Linked DNA regions of Mus musculus. The protein of the gene in region 2 purifies or fractionates together with the protein of the main gene of each other region. This does not show direct contact. Links are inferred from orthologs where the notes say so. Each region holds a gene or a part of one and is shown on either strand. Other genes may lie near its edges. The genes, in order: Abhd10 and Kcmf1.

Evidence for each region.
Region 1: the proteins of Kcmf1 (region 2) and Abhd10 purify together in Homo sapiens (affinity purification with mass spectrometry; 3 studies listed by BioGRID and IntAct, counting the BioPlex papers as one, with this or other methods). This does not show direct contact. The link is inferred for Mus musculus from reciprocal best matches to the Homo sapiens genes KCMF1 and ABHD10.

What each region holds. Positions count from the first base shown.
Region 1 is NC_000082.6:45,734,642-45,742,978, reverse strand, and holds the start of Abhd10 (mycophenolic acid acyl-glucuronide esterase, mitochondrial isoform 1 precursor), read left to right. Parts: upstream 1-23; 5' UTR 24-87; coding exon 88-202; intron 203-2,476; coding exon 2,477-2,660; intron 2,661-5,343; coding exon 5,344-5,455; intron 5,456-5,948; coding exon 5,949-6,086; intron 6,087-8,337. UniProt on the Homo sapiens protein: Acts as an acyl-protein thioesterase that hydrolyzes fatty acids from acylated residues in proteins.
Region 2 is NC_000072.6:72,894,514-72,903,467, forward strand, and holds the start of Kcmf1 (E3 ubiquitin-protein ligase KCMF1), read right to left. Parts: upstream 5,467-8,954; 5' UTR 5,117-5,466; coding exon 5,101-5,116; intron 4,780-5,100; exon of another isoform or gene 4,467-4,779; intron 4,413-4,466; exon of another isoform or gene 1-4,412. UniProt on the Homo sapiens protein: E3 ubiquitin-protein ligase which accepts ubiquitin from an E2 ubiquitin-conjugating enzyme and then transfers it to targeted substrates, promoting their degradation by the proteasome.

The DNA.
Region 1 (8,337 bases), on a different chromosome or scaffold from region 2:
ACCCCGCTCCCCGCGGACTGCGCGTGCGTGACCTCGGGACCGCGCGACCTGCGCGCGTCTGTAGCGGGCGCAGGGGCAGCTGGGAAGATGGCGGCCTGGGCCCCTTGTCGGAGGTGGGGCTGGGCGGCTGTGTCCTTCGGCCGGCACCCGGGCCTGAGCGCGTCACTAGCTCGGAAGCCCCCACGGGCATGGTGGCTCTCAGGTTAGTGTACGGAAGGTGGGGCACTGGGGCTCTTTGGAAGGCCCGGCGACCGTCCAGTGCCCGTCTGGAGCCGGCTTGGCGCGCCATTTAAAACTGCTCTGGCTGTCTCGGCACTGAACGCTGCTGGGCAAGGCTAGGGGAGTCTGCTTTTCTGCTGAGGCCCTGCGGCGTTCTTGGAAGTCCTTGTTAGCGGTTACACTGCGATTTAAGGAGTTCCTACGTCCTCTGAATCAAACGTCAAGAGCAGAAAGAAAAAAAATAAGATGTGCATTTAATGTGTTTGGTTATTAGCTGCTCCTAGAGCTTTTCATATGGATATATGTCAAGTGGTTAGCCTTGCCTGTCATGGACTTGAGGAAACAAAGTATGTATGTATATACATGTAAATGCTGTCTTTAGACCTAATATCTGATTGTTCTTGTTTAAAGAATTGGAGTTACTCTACAATGGAAGCTAAAATGTGGATCAGTAGTATTACATGCGTAGAATACATGATTTGTGTACATGTATAGTTATCCTTAAATAACATCCTTGGTGTCCTCTTCACATCTTGCCACACAGCTATTAGATAGCTACATAGTGCTTGGAATACTAATGCCATTATATAACAAGTTTAGTTTTTTCAAGTATGTAATCGGTTTAACTTAACACTGTACATACACACACACAAGTATGTCAGTTCGATAACAAGAGTAAAATATATTTTTAAATTTCTTTAACAGTATTCATTGACAATATATGCATCAGGCTTTCAGCTAATCTATATTATATAAAGATGATTTATAGATTGAAGGTTGGATCTGTTGTTTTATAGCTAACAAACATCACTTCAGAGTAACTGCCTGAAATGAAATTTATTTGTTGGGAGGTAATGTCTGAAAGGGGATAAAAGGATACTTTGAGTATATAATTAAAGAAATGGAAAATGAACATTAATATTGATACAATCTATTGACCAGTAAACTGATCCCCTGTAGCCTTGTTTTAAATCCAGTTTTAAACTTGGCACATTTTTCCAGAGACTAAAACCTTGAATCTGTTTGACACAAACAAGGGATAACTTTAAAGCATTTGATTCTTTGTGTGTGTTTGGGGTCGGGGGTATGGATTGTTGATGTTTGTGAGACAGGGTTTCACTACATAGCCTCTGTCTTTCCTACAACTCATTGTACAAAACAAGGTGACCTGGAAATGGTAGTGGCCCCCCCGCCTGTGGCTCTTGTGTGTGTGGTTATTGGGGTGCACTGTCAGACTCTCTACTCATTATTTTTTTTCTCGAAAATAAACTGGACAGATTAAAAATGGGAAAAAATCTTAGCAGTACACATGGGAGAGACCCAGGCGCTTTCATTAGCAAGATGAAGGGCTAGTAAGACTGCTTAATCTTTTTCTTTTTTAAATAAAGGACTAGCAAAGATGGATCAGCAAAGTAAGCCCTGTAAGGTTCCCCATTTGTCCTGCCATATGTAAATAGTTCTAAGGTATATATGTGTTCCATTTACCAAAAGCCAGCCAACAGAAGTAAACGCACCAGTTAGAGAGCTGTTTGAGAAGTGTATTTCCAAGAATGATACTTGATCCAAACTTATCTTTAAAGGAGCGCGGCCTTCTGAAACTCCACATGCTGGAAATGATGGTGCTTTGTTGCCAGTCGCTTGCCCTTCCTGGGGACGATTGCTCAATGGTGATCTGGTCATAAACAGCGCAGCACTGTGGACATCCTTCCCTCTTGGCTGCCTACGCTGACGACTGATGAGGGTTTTACCTCTGCTTCCCAAAGCCTGGGGTTGCAGGTGCCTAAGACCTTGCCAAAATTATTAGAAATAATTTGGTAAAGAGGAAAGAAAGAAACAAAAACACACATACATTTCTTTTCCCCTACTCATCTGGTCAAAGTAAAAGACATGAAATTCCTGAAACATTGTTAAAACAAGAAAGAAATCTCAGGGGAAAAGCTGAAAGTGATGTATTTAAATCTAAATGTTAATTGCTACTGTTTAGGATAATCCCATGGTGCCAACATGAAGATATTTTTTTGATGAATCTCTGTCTTTTGTTTCACTGAAATTGTTATTTCATTCTGTATTTTGGAAAGTATGATTGGGTAAAAAGGTAAAAATTTTGATGCAACTTTAAAACTTAAAATCTCATACTTGAAGCTTATTTTAATTTTCCTATCAAATGCAGTGGGTTAAAGTTAAAATGTGAAAATATGTGTGATTTTCCAAAAATATTTTTTAAAGTATAATTCACACTTTGTGTACTTTGTTTTAGCTTGCAGACAAAAGGCATCACTTTCTTTCCTTAACCGATCAGAACTTCCAAACCTGGCTTATAAGAGGTTAAAAGGCAAAACCCCAGGAATTATCTTCATCCCTGGCTATCTTTCTAACATGAATGGTATAAAGGCAGTAGCAGTTGAGGAGTTTTGCAAATCTCTAGGTCACGCCTTTATAAGGTAGGAACAATATATTTCAGATAATATATTACCATTTAGTATTGTAATGGAGCCAACTAAAGTCAATGCCAGCATTTTAGTAGATGGAGTTATTTCAATAGTGTGCAGACTTTGGTCTCATGATTTAGGGTCTATAGGGTATTTGTGCTGTGCTGGCTAGATGGGCAGCAGAGGGTGTCATCCGGGGGCTCGTCACTTAGTTGTTTAGATACAATGATCTGTGTGGCAAAGAAAGTATACCTGTTGGGTTTCCTATCATACCTTGTGATTATGGGTTTTGCACTAAAGACATAAAGAACTCATGTGGCCGCTGTTTATTACTCTCTACCACGGGTGTTTGAAGCTGAGAGTATAATATAGCATACCTCAGGGGTAGAGCATTTGTTTAGCACAAAAATCCCGGAATCAGTCCCTAGCACAACCCACAAAAGACAAGGTTTTTCAGTGTAATATAATATTGTAAGATTAATATTGTATAATTTACATTTCCGTTTTCTTTGTTCTTTTTTTATTATCTGACTGTGTGTGGTTATAAACAAGGATATTATATTTGTACCTTTTCACTCATTTTAATAAAAATGTATTGATGTAAAAAATTGGAATCTCTTACCAAGCTGTTTAGCCCATTAGCTGCAGCAGTAAGGTTAGGTTTATCAATACATTTTTTGATATTTTAATTTTAAGATAGTTTAATGGGGAACGCATTGGTGTAAAACTGAAGAAATAGAATTGAAAGAAGACTTCTTTAAGTAACTTATGAAGACATCAGTAATACTCAGTAGACACAGATATGGCAGGAGGGAAGTGGGTGGACAAGATTTACAAATGAACTCTGGGAAAAATAAAGGGCAGTGCTGTCTGTGGAGAGAGACCATTCATAATCTGATTCATATCTGAGGAGAACGTTCACAATCAGAAATACTGCTGCCATTGCTTTTCTTTGTCTGAAAAGTAATCTTAATAAAGAAATGAGCATCTTAGGGCTGGGGAGGCAGTAGTGAGTGAGGCACTTTCTGTGCAAGCGTGAGTGAGGATCAGAGTTCAGCTTTCTGCACCCAGCCCTGTAAAAGCCCAGTGGCTGAAGCTGCCCACCTGTCATCCCAGCATTTGGAAGGCAGAGAGAGGGATCTCTTAGCTGTTTAGCCCATTAGCTGCAGCAGTAAGCCTCAGGCTCAGTGAAAGACTCTACCTCAGTGTATAAGGTAGAGAGTGATCAAGGACAATACTTGATGTCAGCCTCTGGCCCCTACAACCATGTGTACATGTACCTATACCACATACATACATGCACCCCTCACACATGGGAATACATCCACACATATGCCACAACCCACATAAAATAGAACTCAACATTTTACTGAGTTTTGAATTTGATTTGAGACTGAGAGCTATAGCCAGTTCCAGGCATACTGTAGTTTTCTGCATATTGGATGCTATATAAATACACACTTATAAACAATAGCTCTTTTACGACAGATTCTTTAATTAAGTTCTTTTGTGTAGCATTGTAATAGTGGTGAGTGTAGGAACCTTCCGAATTCATTGTATGTCTACATGATTATGTGCTATGTGAGCATGACCATGCATGCATGTGTGCATGTGTTTGGAAGCCAGGAGACAACGCTAGTTGTTATTTTTCAGGAGTCATTCACCTTATTTACAGAGACAGGACTCCTTTCAGTGGTTTGAAGCTTCTCAAGTAGGTTAGTCTTGCTGGCCAAGGAGCCCCTGATCTACCTGTCTCTGCCTGCCCAGCACAGAGACTGCCTCAGGAAAGTTCACAAAATGAAGAGATGTGACTTCAAGAAGGACTAGTGACTGGTTTGGTGGGGAAGGAAGACTTTATTGGCAGTGGAATGGCATCCAAAGTTCATGGTTATAAAGGATCTGGCCAGGAATTAGGAAACAGTTCGGAATGACTTGTGATTTTGATAATCTGTGTCCATGATAGGATACCTCATAATTTATTGAGTTGGGACCTTGAAGTAAAGGTAAAACTCAGAGATTAGACAGATGTTGAGCTTGAATCCCTAGGAAAATTTAGAAGGCGGGGTTCATGGTGAATCTGATATGAATCTTGAGGAGCAGTAAGTGCTATGAAGAAAATACAGCGGGAAGGAGTGCAGAGCTATGGGAGAAGCGCAGTGGTAGCACGGGATGCTCAGAGCCAGCTTGGCATGAGCTGAGGCATCTCTAGTGGAAAGGAGAAGTGTGCTAAGTAGAGGTGAAAGGTCATGGTACAGGAAGGGGTGGTGCATACTGTTTAACTTCAAGCGAGAAAATAACAATAACTGGCGAGGGAAGGAGCTCAGGAAGAGATGAGGTCGGGGAAGCATGCTAAGGGCTTTGAGTTTTAGTAGCTACCCAGCATGCACTGTAGTATTTCATTTGGAAGGATCATTCTGACTACGAGAGAAACTGAGAATACCACTGCATTGGTCGAGTTGAGATAATAACGTGGACTAAGCTAAGCAGCAGTGATGATGGAAGAAAGTGATGGACGTGAGAGGTTCTTGGAAGTTAAGCCAGGAGGATTTACAAAATGCATGTTGACTGATGTTTACTGTAGTTAGGTCACGGCAGTAATGGAAAATGCTCTTCTTTGCTTTAAAGTCAAAAAAGCAAGCCTGGACACATTTCAGACACTGAGGTATAAACATATTTCTTCTTCTTCTTCTTCCAGGTTTGACTACTCAGGGATTGGAAGTTCAGATGGTAACTTAGCAGAGTGCACAGTGGGGAAATGGAGAAAGGATGTCCTTTCCATACTTGATGACGTAGCTGAAGGACCGCAGGTGACCATTTTTGTTAAGTAGACTGATCTTTGACTCAAGTGATATTTATTTTGTCTCTTTAGATATAACAATGGATAATATTTTGTCAATTTTGATAATTTCGATTTTGATGAACAATTTTGATTTAAAATTATTGTATTTTTACTTTCTAATAAGCAATAAGCACTTTAGTTCTCATTGAAAAATAACTTTGCTTTTATAGTTCTATATTATAGACATAATGACCTTACAGAAGTTAATTATATTGGGATACAGGGACAGATGCTGAGTTCAAGATGAACCTAGTCTACAAAAAGAGTTCCAGGACAACACAGTAGAAACCTGACTCAAACAAACAAACAAACAAACAAGTTAGTTTAATTGAATTTTACTTTGTGTTACATATTAAAAGTCTGCAAGGATATAAAAGATACAAAGTGTATATATTTCTATTAAATCATTCTCTTTATAGAGTATGAGAGTCCTCTTTGAAGTCATGCATACTTGTTTTTAGATACTGGTTGGATCCAGTCTTGGTGGATGGCTCATGCTGCATGCTGCAATTGCACGGCCGGAAAAAGTCATAGCTCTTATTGGTATAGCTACTGCTGCAGATGGATTGGTGACACAATATCATGCACTTCCTGTTGAGGTAAGTCATGAGCCATTTGGCCACCCCGGGGAGTACTTCCTATCTTCTGCCTTTTCTCTCTCTCTACTTATTCACCATCTCCCTCTACCTTACTAGAGTGACCTGGCTTTTGTCTTTGCTGCCCTATTGCTTGGTCTCTTGTTTTTTTTTTTTTTGTTTTTTTTTTTTTGTTTTTGGTTTTTCGAGACAGGGTTTCTCTGTGTAGCTCTGGCTGTCCTGGAACTCACTTTGTAGACCAGGCTGGCCTCGAACTCAGAAATCCGCCTGCCTCTGCCTCCCAAGTGCTGGGATTAAAGGCGTGCGCCACCACGCCCGGCTTGCTTGGTCTCTTGTTTTAAGGTTTCCTTTTCTCATTCCTCTTTCTAAAACATCCTGCCAAATGCATGAGACGTGGCACTGAAGTCATGCTTCACAGTGTCCTCTTTTGCTCAGTTTTCTTTATTTCCTTTACCTAATGGAATTCCATGTCACAGTCTACTTTTTTACCCTCTTACTCTCAGTTCGTGGTATGTGAATAGTGCCTGTTCTTACATCATGTGAGACTGGACTAAACAGATGTAAAACTACCTTCTTTAGCCCAAAAACAGACTTATGTTCTCTGGGCAGCAGTTATCAGCTAATTAGAGGCAGCACACCAGGGGTAGAGGGGTTTTTTGTTTTTTTTTTTTTTGTTTTTCTGGCTTTGTTGCTTTGTTAGCATTCTTTTCGAATAATTTTTGTGCTGCATCAAAAGAAAAGCAGGGCTTTTCACCAATGTTCTTCAGCGATTCATGGTAAAAATGAAGGGTCTGAAATAACTGGGAAGGTAGCTGTTCTCTTTAGCTTCAATTGGATATCCGTTTAGGCAGTGTTCTAGTTAGGGTTCCTATTGCTGTGATGGAACACTATCACCAAAGTTGGTGAGGGAAACGGTTTGTCTGGCTTGCACTTCCACATCACAGTCAATCACTGAAGAAAGTCTAGGCAGGACCTCACACTGGGCAGGAGCCTACAGAGGCCATGGAAGGGTACTGCTTACTGACTTGCTCTTCATGGCTCGTTCAATCTGCTTTCCTAGAGAACCCAGGACCACCAGCCCAGGGATGACACCAGCCACAAGGCTCTGGGCCCTCCTAAAAATGATGTCCAGACTTTCTACAGCCCCGTCTTCTAGAAACATTTTCTTTTTTTCAATTTTCTTTATTTTTCTTTTCTTTTCTTTTTTTTTTAAAGATATTTTATTTATTTTATGTATATGAGTACTCTGTACACTGTCACTTTCTTCAGACACACCAGAAAAAGGCCTCAGATCCTGTTACAGATGGTTGTGAGCCACCATGTGGTTACTGAGAATTGAACTCATGACCTCTGGAAGAGCAGTCAATGTTCTTACCTGCTGAGCCATCTCTGGAAACATTTTCTTAATTGAAGTTTTCTTTTCTCACATGACTTTAGATTGTGTCAAATTCACATAAAACTGTCCAACACAGACAGTTATGTGCAAGGACAATGGAATAAGCAACATCTATACTTTTGTGCATTTTTTTACTGCATTCATTTCAGTTTTCCTCACCTGTGGAACTAAGTTCCTGGTAAGCCAGAGACAATAAAAATTAAAAGGGAAAAACATTATTTCAAAATGGGTTCCAGACCCACTATCAATCTTGAATTTCATTCTGAATCAGACATGGGAGATATGCCCAACAAGTTCCTCCCCACAGTAGAGTTTGAGAATCAGGTTTGCAGAGCCCAGGAAGAAAGCAGCAGTGGGGAGGGGAGTCAAGGGGACACAATAAACGTGTATAACTTTGGATAATAGAACATTACTGATTTCTGCTTCAGGTTCTTTAAGATTTCAGCTGTGGAGCATCTGAGTTTGTTCTTAGTTCATGTTGTTCTCAGTGGCATTGCTGGAGATGAGGGGATAGCTCAGTTGTTAAAATGCACGACATACAAGCTTAAGAAACTGAGCTAACCCAGACCCATGCTGTTTTGTTTTGTTTTGTTTGTTTTATTTTGTTGTTTAAAGCTGATAGGCTGGGGAAATGGCAGAAGAGATAAAAAACACTTGCCCCTTGCCTGACAACCTGAGTTCTGTTCTTGGGACTGACATAGAAAACCAACTCACGTGGATAGTGCTCTGGCTTCCACACAAGCACTGTGGCACACACATGCATCCTCACCTTTTCCCCACAAACAAGAGTAATAATGGAAGAGATGATGATGATGATGACGACGACGATAGTAATAATAATAGTAACAATAATAATAA
Region 2 (8,954 bases):
GGAAGCAGGATCACAAGCTGAGAGTCCTCCTCCGTTACACAGGGAGTTAGCGGCCAGTGCAGAGTACACAAGACCCTGCCTCAGAAAACAGGGCTGTCAGGTGTCTTAGCTAGGAAAAGTGCTTGCACCAAACGGATCCATCTGTGTCTAATGCCCAGGACTCCTGTGAAGGTCAAAGCAGAGAAGCCACTTGGGACAGTCACCCTGGGCCTACCACATGGAACTGCCACGTCTCTTGAACAAAGAAAGACACGAACTATCTTTTTAATAAAGAGTAGCAGAGAACAGGCTTAAGTACTTCAAAGTGATACAAAGCTGTAAATCCCAAAACTTAGTCACCTGGGTAGAAGAAGTACAGAAGTTCAAGGCCAGCCTGGGCTATACGAGACCTTGTTCTCATAAAAAAGAAAACAAGTAAGCAAACAAACAAAAACCCACTCAAACTATTAGAATCAAAATATATTTATTCCCTCTGAAGCTGTGGAAAATAGGGTGAGAGGTGTCATCAAGTAAAGGCAGTTGTCACACAACCCTGGTGAACACAGTACAAAAGCCATAGAATATGCAGCTCTATAGTTACAACACAGAAGTGAGCCCTAAAGTTAACTTACACACTGCTCCACACACCCTCTCACGCATGTGCACTAAATAAAAATTGGGCCAAAGCCGTATGATCCAAGTTGGCAAGCACTTGGACATCCACTTGTTTCTTATCGTTTTGTCAGCCCAGCTCAGGCTGCACTGCCTTCAGAGACTGTCTACAGACACAGCTTTCCTACCAGGCTTAGAGTTGAAGCCTGTGTCTCCTTACATTCTGGGTACCTAGCAGTGCCTTTCACATAGTAATGGAAACAGTCCAAGGATTTAAAGCTATCTGTGTTAACCCAGGTAACCAACTAGAACACCCATAACTGAGCTCATGAACTACATAATCTGACAGGTTTTTATTTACAAAGTTATTTCCTGATTTTCAAACTCTGAATCGCATACATTTTAAATATGTTGTTTACCAAAACATGTTAAGATTTTTTTTTTTTTTTTGTGGTACAAGATTTTGCTTCAACCTCCTGACAAGGGTGCTAGCAGCATAGACATGAACTTGAAGTGCTGTTTCTTGAACTTAAGTGCTGTCTTTTGACAGAGAAGTACAACTAGGATGGCAGTGAATTCCTAGGTTCAAAGGATCCTCCTGTCTTACTCTAAGAGTGGCTACAACTAATATTAGGTGACACCACACATGCTTCCTTTTATTTTCCTTTGGTGCTGAAAAATAAACTCAAAGCTTACGCTGCAGGTTAACCACGTACTGCAAGGCCAGGGATGCAGCTTGGCTGTAAAGTGCTTACCCAGCATGTATGAAGCTCTGGGTTCAAGTCCAACACTACATAAACCAGACATGGTGCTACGTGCCTGTTAGCTGGGAAGTTGAAGGAAGAAAACCTCAAGGTCACTCTTGGTCACAAAAACTTCAAGACCAGCCAGAAACCTATGACCCTGTCTCAAAAATAACAAGCAGAACAACACATGTGTTCCACAACTGAGCTATAGTCCTAGCCAGAGACAGTTTAAAAAAAAAACCTAGAAAACAGAAAATGACTGGGTTTGGTGTAAGACAGAAAACTAGATACTGTTGACAGTATCAACTGTTGACCACACAGAGTGACTTGGTGCTAGTACCTAAGAAATGTTTGCTAACATGGCAAGAACATTTCAAAATGAGGTGAAAAAGAGGCCTTGGAATTCTCCCCAGTCAAGTCATATAGCAACAGGAATTTCACTGTTGTGGAGACCCGCCACTCCACTAACACCTACCTGAAAAGGTGGGTGTTATTCACCAACCCTTCTGCTCCTAAGGGGCAGGAGTTGGTCAGTCAGTCCCTGTACTTGCTCAGGACCCAGCAGAAACAGATACACCAAGGGTCTGGGCCCTTTCTGGTCTCCCACCAGCTGCAGGACCCCCAGCTCTACAGCTCCAATAGGTCAGACAACTACAGAGCTTGGATCAATTTTGGCCTCCACCAGTTCTTGATGGGCCTCACCAGCTAAAAATGGCTTTTACATTTTTAAATGGTGGTGGTGGCAAGATTTCAAGGAACCATATTTCATGACACATGAAAATTTTATGAAATTCAAATATCAGGGTCCATAAAAAAAGTTTTAAGTGGAACACAGCCATAACCACTTGATTAGCTGGCTTTCCTATGACAACTGTGGTAGTGACAGATATAGTTGGCTAAGCCTATGTTTTCTGCTTGGCCCTCTACTTTAGAGAAAGTACGCTAAGCCTGGCCTAGAGCCTTCTCTGTGCCCTTGGCTGCACTGGTGTTTCTCAGAGTAGTCCAGTGCTTGATCTTGACAGGTGTTCATCTTGGGGCTGTGTGGTCCAAAGTCACATCATCTGTATACTACAGAGCAATTGGTTAGAGTTGGGAGAAGACAAAGTAACAAGTTACTTGTACACATGAGGCTGGAAAGCAAGACCTAGGCAAGAACATTACAGGCTGTACAGCTCTGCCCAGAATTAGACTCCAACATCCAGTTCTGGGTCAGACTCCCGAGGAAAACAACTGCAGAGAATGTGGAGGATAGATGATTAAAAGAGCTAAAAAACCAGACCACTAAAAAGTGTTGTGCTAGGAGAGGCTCAGGAGGGAAGCAGATACAGGAAGACTGGATACATGGGGGGGGGGGGGGGTGGGGGGTTGGGGGAGGGCTGAAAGTGTGAAGCCAGTCTCTCCTGTGCAGTGAGATCAGACCAGCCAGGAATGGGCACCATGATCCTGTGTCAAAAGCAAAGATGAAGTAAACAGGATTAGCTGGCCCAAAGAGAAAGGTAAGCAGAAAATCTGGGATTGTCAAATCCCTCCTGATGAAAATAATTACTGCCTGAAATAATATACTGCAAAATATTGACAAATCTCATGAACAGATGTGATTACTGAAACTTTTGACTTAGGCCAAAACCTAGACTCTTAAACTTTCTAACCCTGTTCAAGGTCTGAGAGCACACCCCTGTTGTCACAGTTTGGGGAGGCACAGGCAGGCAGGACTCTTGAGTTCCAGGCCAGCCAGGGCTACTTAGTGAGACAGTGTCAAAATAAAGAAAGAAAATAGTAAATTTAATTAATGTATTATGTAAATATAAAATCACCTGTCAAACATTGCTCAATACCTTCAACACATCCATTTAGGAAACATCTGGCATTAAATTGCCAAGAAAGGTGTTGGAAAGTTTCAAGATGTCAAGTAATTAAAAGGTACCCTTTCCAAGACTAAAGAGGGAATGATGATGAGCTTAGATCACACAATATTTTATTGAAGGATGCTATACCTACCTAAGCCATTTTAATTACTCAAACACACCATCTGAGGGTACTTTTTCCAGGCTACTGCTCATTAAGACTATTCCGTCTGCTTCTTTAAGGCGATTGCTATTCTGTTATTTTAATCTGGTTCCTGAGTTGGAGCCTGAACTTCATGCTCACTTTCACTTTGTCTTGAAGGTGGTCAATACACCAACTGATGCCATCTAAAATTAACCTCACCATCTCCAAATGGAATTTGACTACAACCTTAATGAAGACTTTTTTCAAGTGCGGTGATAAGGAACACACTCCCATTAAGCTTATAAAACGGTTTAGCAGGTGAGTTCCCAAATATTTCTTTTCATCTGACTGAGGCTAAATTAAGTACCCTGCTATTTATTTCAAAGTGACCAACACATTAACAGTTAGTAATCAAAAATGCCCCATGCTCTTCCCTATCATTAGGTTTTTTTTTTTAAATAAAAACTCTCCAAACATAAAATGATCAGAGTCAATCACAATCTTGCCTTTAGAAATGCAAATTCCGAAACTTTCACTAAATGTATGTTAATTGATCTGAGTTTGTCACCTTAGAAAAGCCAAGGTCTGTACTTCCCTAAGAATGCCCTTCCCTCGGCGATAAACTGCCTCCTCAAACTTTCTTCACTTCCAAAACACCTATACAGGATTTGGAAAATCTTAGGGACTCAATTATTTTCAGGTCACTTATACAATCTTCCATTAACCGTACCGAAATAAACTTTTCACTAAGTCGGTGACTACTTTTAAAGGTAAAACCTGCTGTAGTGAAACAAAGAGAACATAGCCCCCTCCCCCCTTCCTAAACCATATGGTAGTAAATTCAAGTTAACTTATTTTTTCGCCAGTTCATCGCCCATCCATCGGCCTGAAAACACTTGTGCCTTTGTGCCGTGGGGCTGGGACGCGAGTGGTCTGATTCTTAACCACAGAACCCCAGCGTGTTTCCACAGGGCACCGCGGAAGTCCAAACGCCCCCCGACTGGAAGCCTGCTTCGGTGGGCAGCGCACGCGGGTGAGGGCCCGGGACCGGCCGGGAGCAAGTTCCGCTCCGGCGAGGTGACGGAGCAGGGAGTTTGCTCACCGCGGCCGGGCTGGATCCGCCCCGGGAACTTGGCTTACCCGAGCCCAGGGACGCGCAGAGGCCTACCGCGAGGCCGGGCGAGCTCCAGTCACAGAGGGCTGCCCGAGCCCGAGCCGCGGCGTCTTCCCGCCCGCACGGCCGCGGCCCTCAGGCGGGGCCGTCGCTCGCCCGCGGTCTCCCAGAGACCGGACGCGCCCGCGGGGCCCGGACCCCGCTCCCCCTTGTCGCGGCCGCACGCCCGAGACCCGGCTCGGCCACGGCGCCCGGCTCTTCCGGGAGCCGCCGCAGCTAGGCCGCGCCGGGGCCCCGCGGTTCCCCCGGGCGGGCCGGCCGGGCCTCGGCGTCCGGTATGTGTCCCGAGGGCCAGGCTCCCGCCGGTAACGGGCCCCGCCGCTTCCCCTCCCCCTCTCCCGCCCCATGACAGTGCAAAGCCTCCGGCCGCCCGGCCGCCCCGCCTCCGGCTCCAGGCCCAGCTCAGGGCCGCGGCCGCAAGCCACGGTTGCGGCCGCCGCTCCCGCTCGCTCTTCGGGCCGCGGTGGCCTCGGGTTCCCCAGCCCCGCGACTCGGGCCCGGCCCGCGTCCCCGCCGGTGCCCCGCTGCCCTCGGCGGCGCCCGGACTTCGGGCGGGGTAGGCCGAGGCCCAAGCGGTGGGGGCGGGGGCTCGGCTCTCACCTTCATGTCGGGACATCCTAGTTCAGACGCTGGCGGCGCGGCCCCTCCCGGGCTCCCGGCTGCAGTGTGCCCCCACCGCGGGCTCCCGGCGCTGCCCGCGCCCGGCCGGCCGACTCCCACTCGACTCCCGGGCTCGGCCGCGGGGGCGGGGTGGGCAGGGGAGCGCTCCCGCGGCGGCGGCGGCGGCGGCGGCGGGGAGGCGGCGCGGGGCGGGAATGGGGCCGGGCCTGGCCGGGGCTGAGCTCCTCCAGGAGGCGGGTCCGACGCGGCCGCGGCTCCGCCGGCGCCCGCCGTGACTCGGTCACTCTCGGGCCCCCGCCGGCTCCCGGCAGCGGCGCGGCGTCCGCAAATCCCGCTCGTCCCCTCCCCCGGCCCGCCCCCCGCCCGTCCGTCTCCCGGCTCCGGCCGCCGCCTCCTCCTCCTCCTCTTCCTCCTCTTCCGCCTCCTTCCGCCCGCACGCCCGCCCCGCCTCTCGCCGCCCTGAGGCCCCGCGGCCGGCGGGCGACCGTGCTTGGCGGCGGTCCTGCCGCGGTCCCGCAGGCACCCGAGCCCAGCCGCGGCCCGCCACGCTGCGCGTGGGGAGGACGAGGACGCGAAACGCCCCCGACGTGGCTCCCCAGCGCCTGGGCGCGCGGCGGCCGGGCCATCGCAGACGTCCCGGGGACGTGTGTGTGTTTGTGTGCTGCTTTGAAAGCCGGGGACCCAGAAGGGAATGGCAGTCGGGCCTCCGGGGCTCGCGGGTCCCCAGACCCAGGGGGAGGCCGAGGCCTAGCGAGCCGGCTCGGCCGCCCGCTCGAATGCGCTGCGGGAAAAACTTGGTGGGCTTCGGGGGTACTTTGCTTCCGGCTGTGTGTGCAGGTCTTTCCCTCCACCCAGGCTCCTTACAGGCTACTTTCTCTTCAGGCATTGCTAACTCGACAAACACTTGAGACTACCCCTGACCACGTGTCAGTGGTGGCGTGGCGCAGGTAGAACAGATCGCGCCCTGGAGTTAAGACGTGTTCAGCCCTGGGATTCTGGTTCTGATATGCTCGGTGTAACCTTGAACAAGTGACTTAACCTTGCTGAGCCTTCGCTCTAAATTGGTTCGCTTTGGGTGGTTAATTTTGCCTTGGTAGTCTCGAGATTGGACAAAGTTCCCAGCTAAGTTTACTGAAACTAGGGTCCAAGGTACTGCTTGCTTTGGCGATTTTCCTAATTTGCCCACCCTCCACCGACTGTGGGACCTGGACAAAGCGTTGGTTGCCTTAGCTTCTGTGACTTTCAAAAAGGGCAAGCATATCAATAGATGCAGGAGAGATACAGTACCAAGATTCGACGTGTAGAGTAGCAAAGGAAGGACCCTATTTGTTACAATATTTTATTGAATATGATTTAAGATATGTCTGGTTTTGAAAATACTAAAAGGCTTAATCCGAGAGACTACATAGTAGGTCATCCCTGTCTACCCAAGAAACTAGCTGTAATTAAATTGGGGGTGGTTTTGAGGCATGACCTCAGATAGCCCGAGGCAGTCCTTGAATTGCTCAAGTAGCTGATTCTGACCTTCCCATCTCCCAGGGGCTGGAACGAAAGGCATCTTCCACCACACCCCCACCTAATTTGGGTTTAAATGAGGACTAGATAACAAATATTTCTGTTTCGGGTGTGGAATTCCGCACACTACAGACCGGCCTGAGGAAGACTATGCCTAGTAGGGCTTACAAAGGGAGAGCAGGGTTTGTAGTTAGCCTGATCGACATCCTGGTTAGTGGGTCCTTTCTGACAACCCTACACATTTTATTATTGGCAAGTGATCCTGGGTGTAAGCCAGTTCCCTGAACTTGAGCTGTGAAAGTCAGGCTAGCAGCTCTTAACGCATACACAGGTGGTGAATAATGGTTTTTTATAAATTTGTATCAAAGTTTGTAAGCAGTTCTGTAAAAATGCTGGAGCATTTAGAGTAGCCAACAAAAGCAACACTTCCAGAAAGGAATACCAGTAAGTATGGAAAAAACTGGGTGAAAATAGAAAGGAGACTATTGAGGAGGAAGAAGGGGCTGGAGCTGTGAGGTGAAGTGTGCCCCAAGTCCCAAGTCTACGGAAAAGTCACTCAGGGTTGTGTACAGGCATGATGCTAGGGGAAGAAACATTAAAAACAAGTCTTACTGTATTGAAGGGTTAGCTAGTTTTTTTTTTTTTTTCACCTGCCTCTGCCTCCCAAGTGCTGGGTTTAAAGGCCTGTGTTACCACTGCCCGGTAGGGTTAGCTAGTCTTGTTCATGGGAGGAAACATAGCTTGGTCTGACCTCCAAGGGACTACCATGTTTTTTTGACAGTGATTTCATTGTTAGTATCCCAGCTTAGCCGTGAATCTCCAGCTCTTCCTGCCCTAGATCTCCTTCCCATGCCTCCTTGGTTTCCCCCATGTCCAGTTGAAAGTCACAGGTATCTTTACCAAACTTACTGTGTTCCATAGATGGCCCAGTTCTAGTCCTTAAAACAACAGTCAGATAAATCCTAATGAGATTTAAATACCATCAGTAGATCAGCAGACAATAGCTGCACCTTTTTGTGTTTTTCTGTACTTCTTTAAGGTTTTAAGATTAGGGGGAAATGAGCCAGGCGTAGTGGCACACATCCTTTAGTTCCAGCACATGGGATGCAGAGGCAGGCATAGCTCCCAGCCTGGTCTCCATGGAGTGTTCCAGGACAGTCAGCAGAGCTACACTGGGAGACCCTGCCTCAAAAAGACAAAAAAAAAAAAAAAAAAAAAAAAAGATTAGGGCAAGTGTCCAAGAGAAGGGCCAGAGAGATGGCTCAGCGGTTAAGAGCACTGACTGCTCTTCCGAACCCTGAGTTCAATTCCCAGCAACCACATGGTGGCTCACAACCACCCGTAACAAGATCTGGCGCCCTCTTCTGGAGTGTCTGAAGACAGCTACAGTGTACTTACATATAATAATAAATAAATCTTAAAAAAAAAAAAGAGTCCTGTCAGTCCTGTTAAAGCATGAAATAAGTCACCTGGACACAAATGACGTGAGCAATCCTATGCAGCAGAGTGAGGCTTGGGGAGCTAGATAGTCTACTGAGGACTTTTGAGATCATATTCTCTACTGTACTTGTAATCTTGACATTGCTGGGTATGCTTGTCAGAGTTCTGAACTATGAACCTGTCCTTAAGCAAGAAAATCAATAGTGTCTGGGCTCAGTGGCTCAAGCTGTAATCCCAACACTCAAAAGACAGAGTCAACCTGATTTACATAAGAGATTTTTACCTCAAACAAAAGTATGACTAGAGGTAACTCAGCAGTTGAGCGCACAGAAGTCAGATGGCCTACAAACACCTATAACTTCAGTTCCATGGGTTCCAATGCTCTCTTCTGACCTCTGCAGGCACCCTTGTATGTGAGGCACACACACGTAAATAAAACTCAGGTGTCTGGGTTTGGTTTGTTAAAGAAAAACAAGTTCCAAGCCAGCCATCTCATAAGGAAAAAGTACTTTGAAAAAAAAAAAAGCAAGGTGGTGGCACACACCTTTAATCCCAGCAGGGCCATCTCACTCAGAGTTCAAGGCCCTGGTGTTCCAGGACAGCCAGGTCTACACAGAGAAACCCTGTCTCCAAAAACAAAAGACAAGCAAGAGCCAGGCATAGTGATACATGCCTGTTCTGGCATTTAGGAGTCAGGACAAAGCCAGCTAAGCTGCACTGGTACAAACAAAGAAGCACCAAAAGGTCTGGGGAGATGGCTCCATGGCTAAGAGCACCCAAGAGCAACTCACAGCACCCAGGTCTGGCTCTTCACAAAAGGTCTGGGGAGATGGCTCCATGGCTAAGAGCACCCAAGAGCAACTCACAGCACCCAGGTC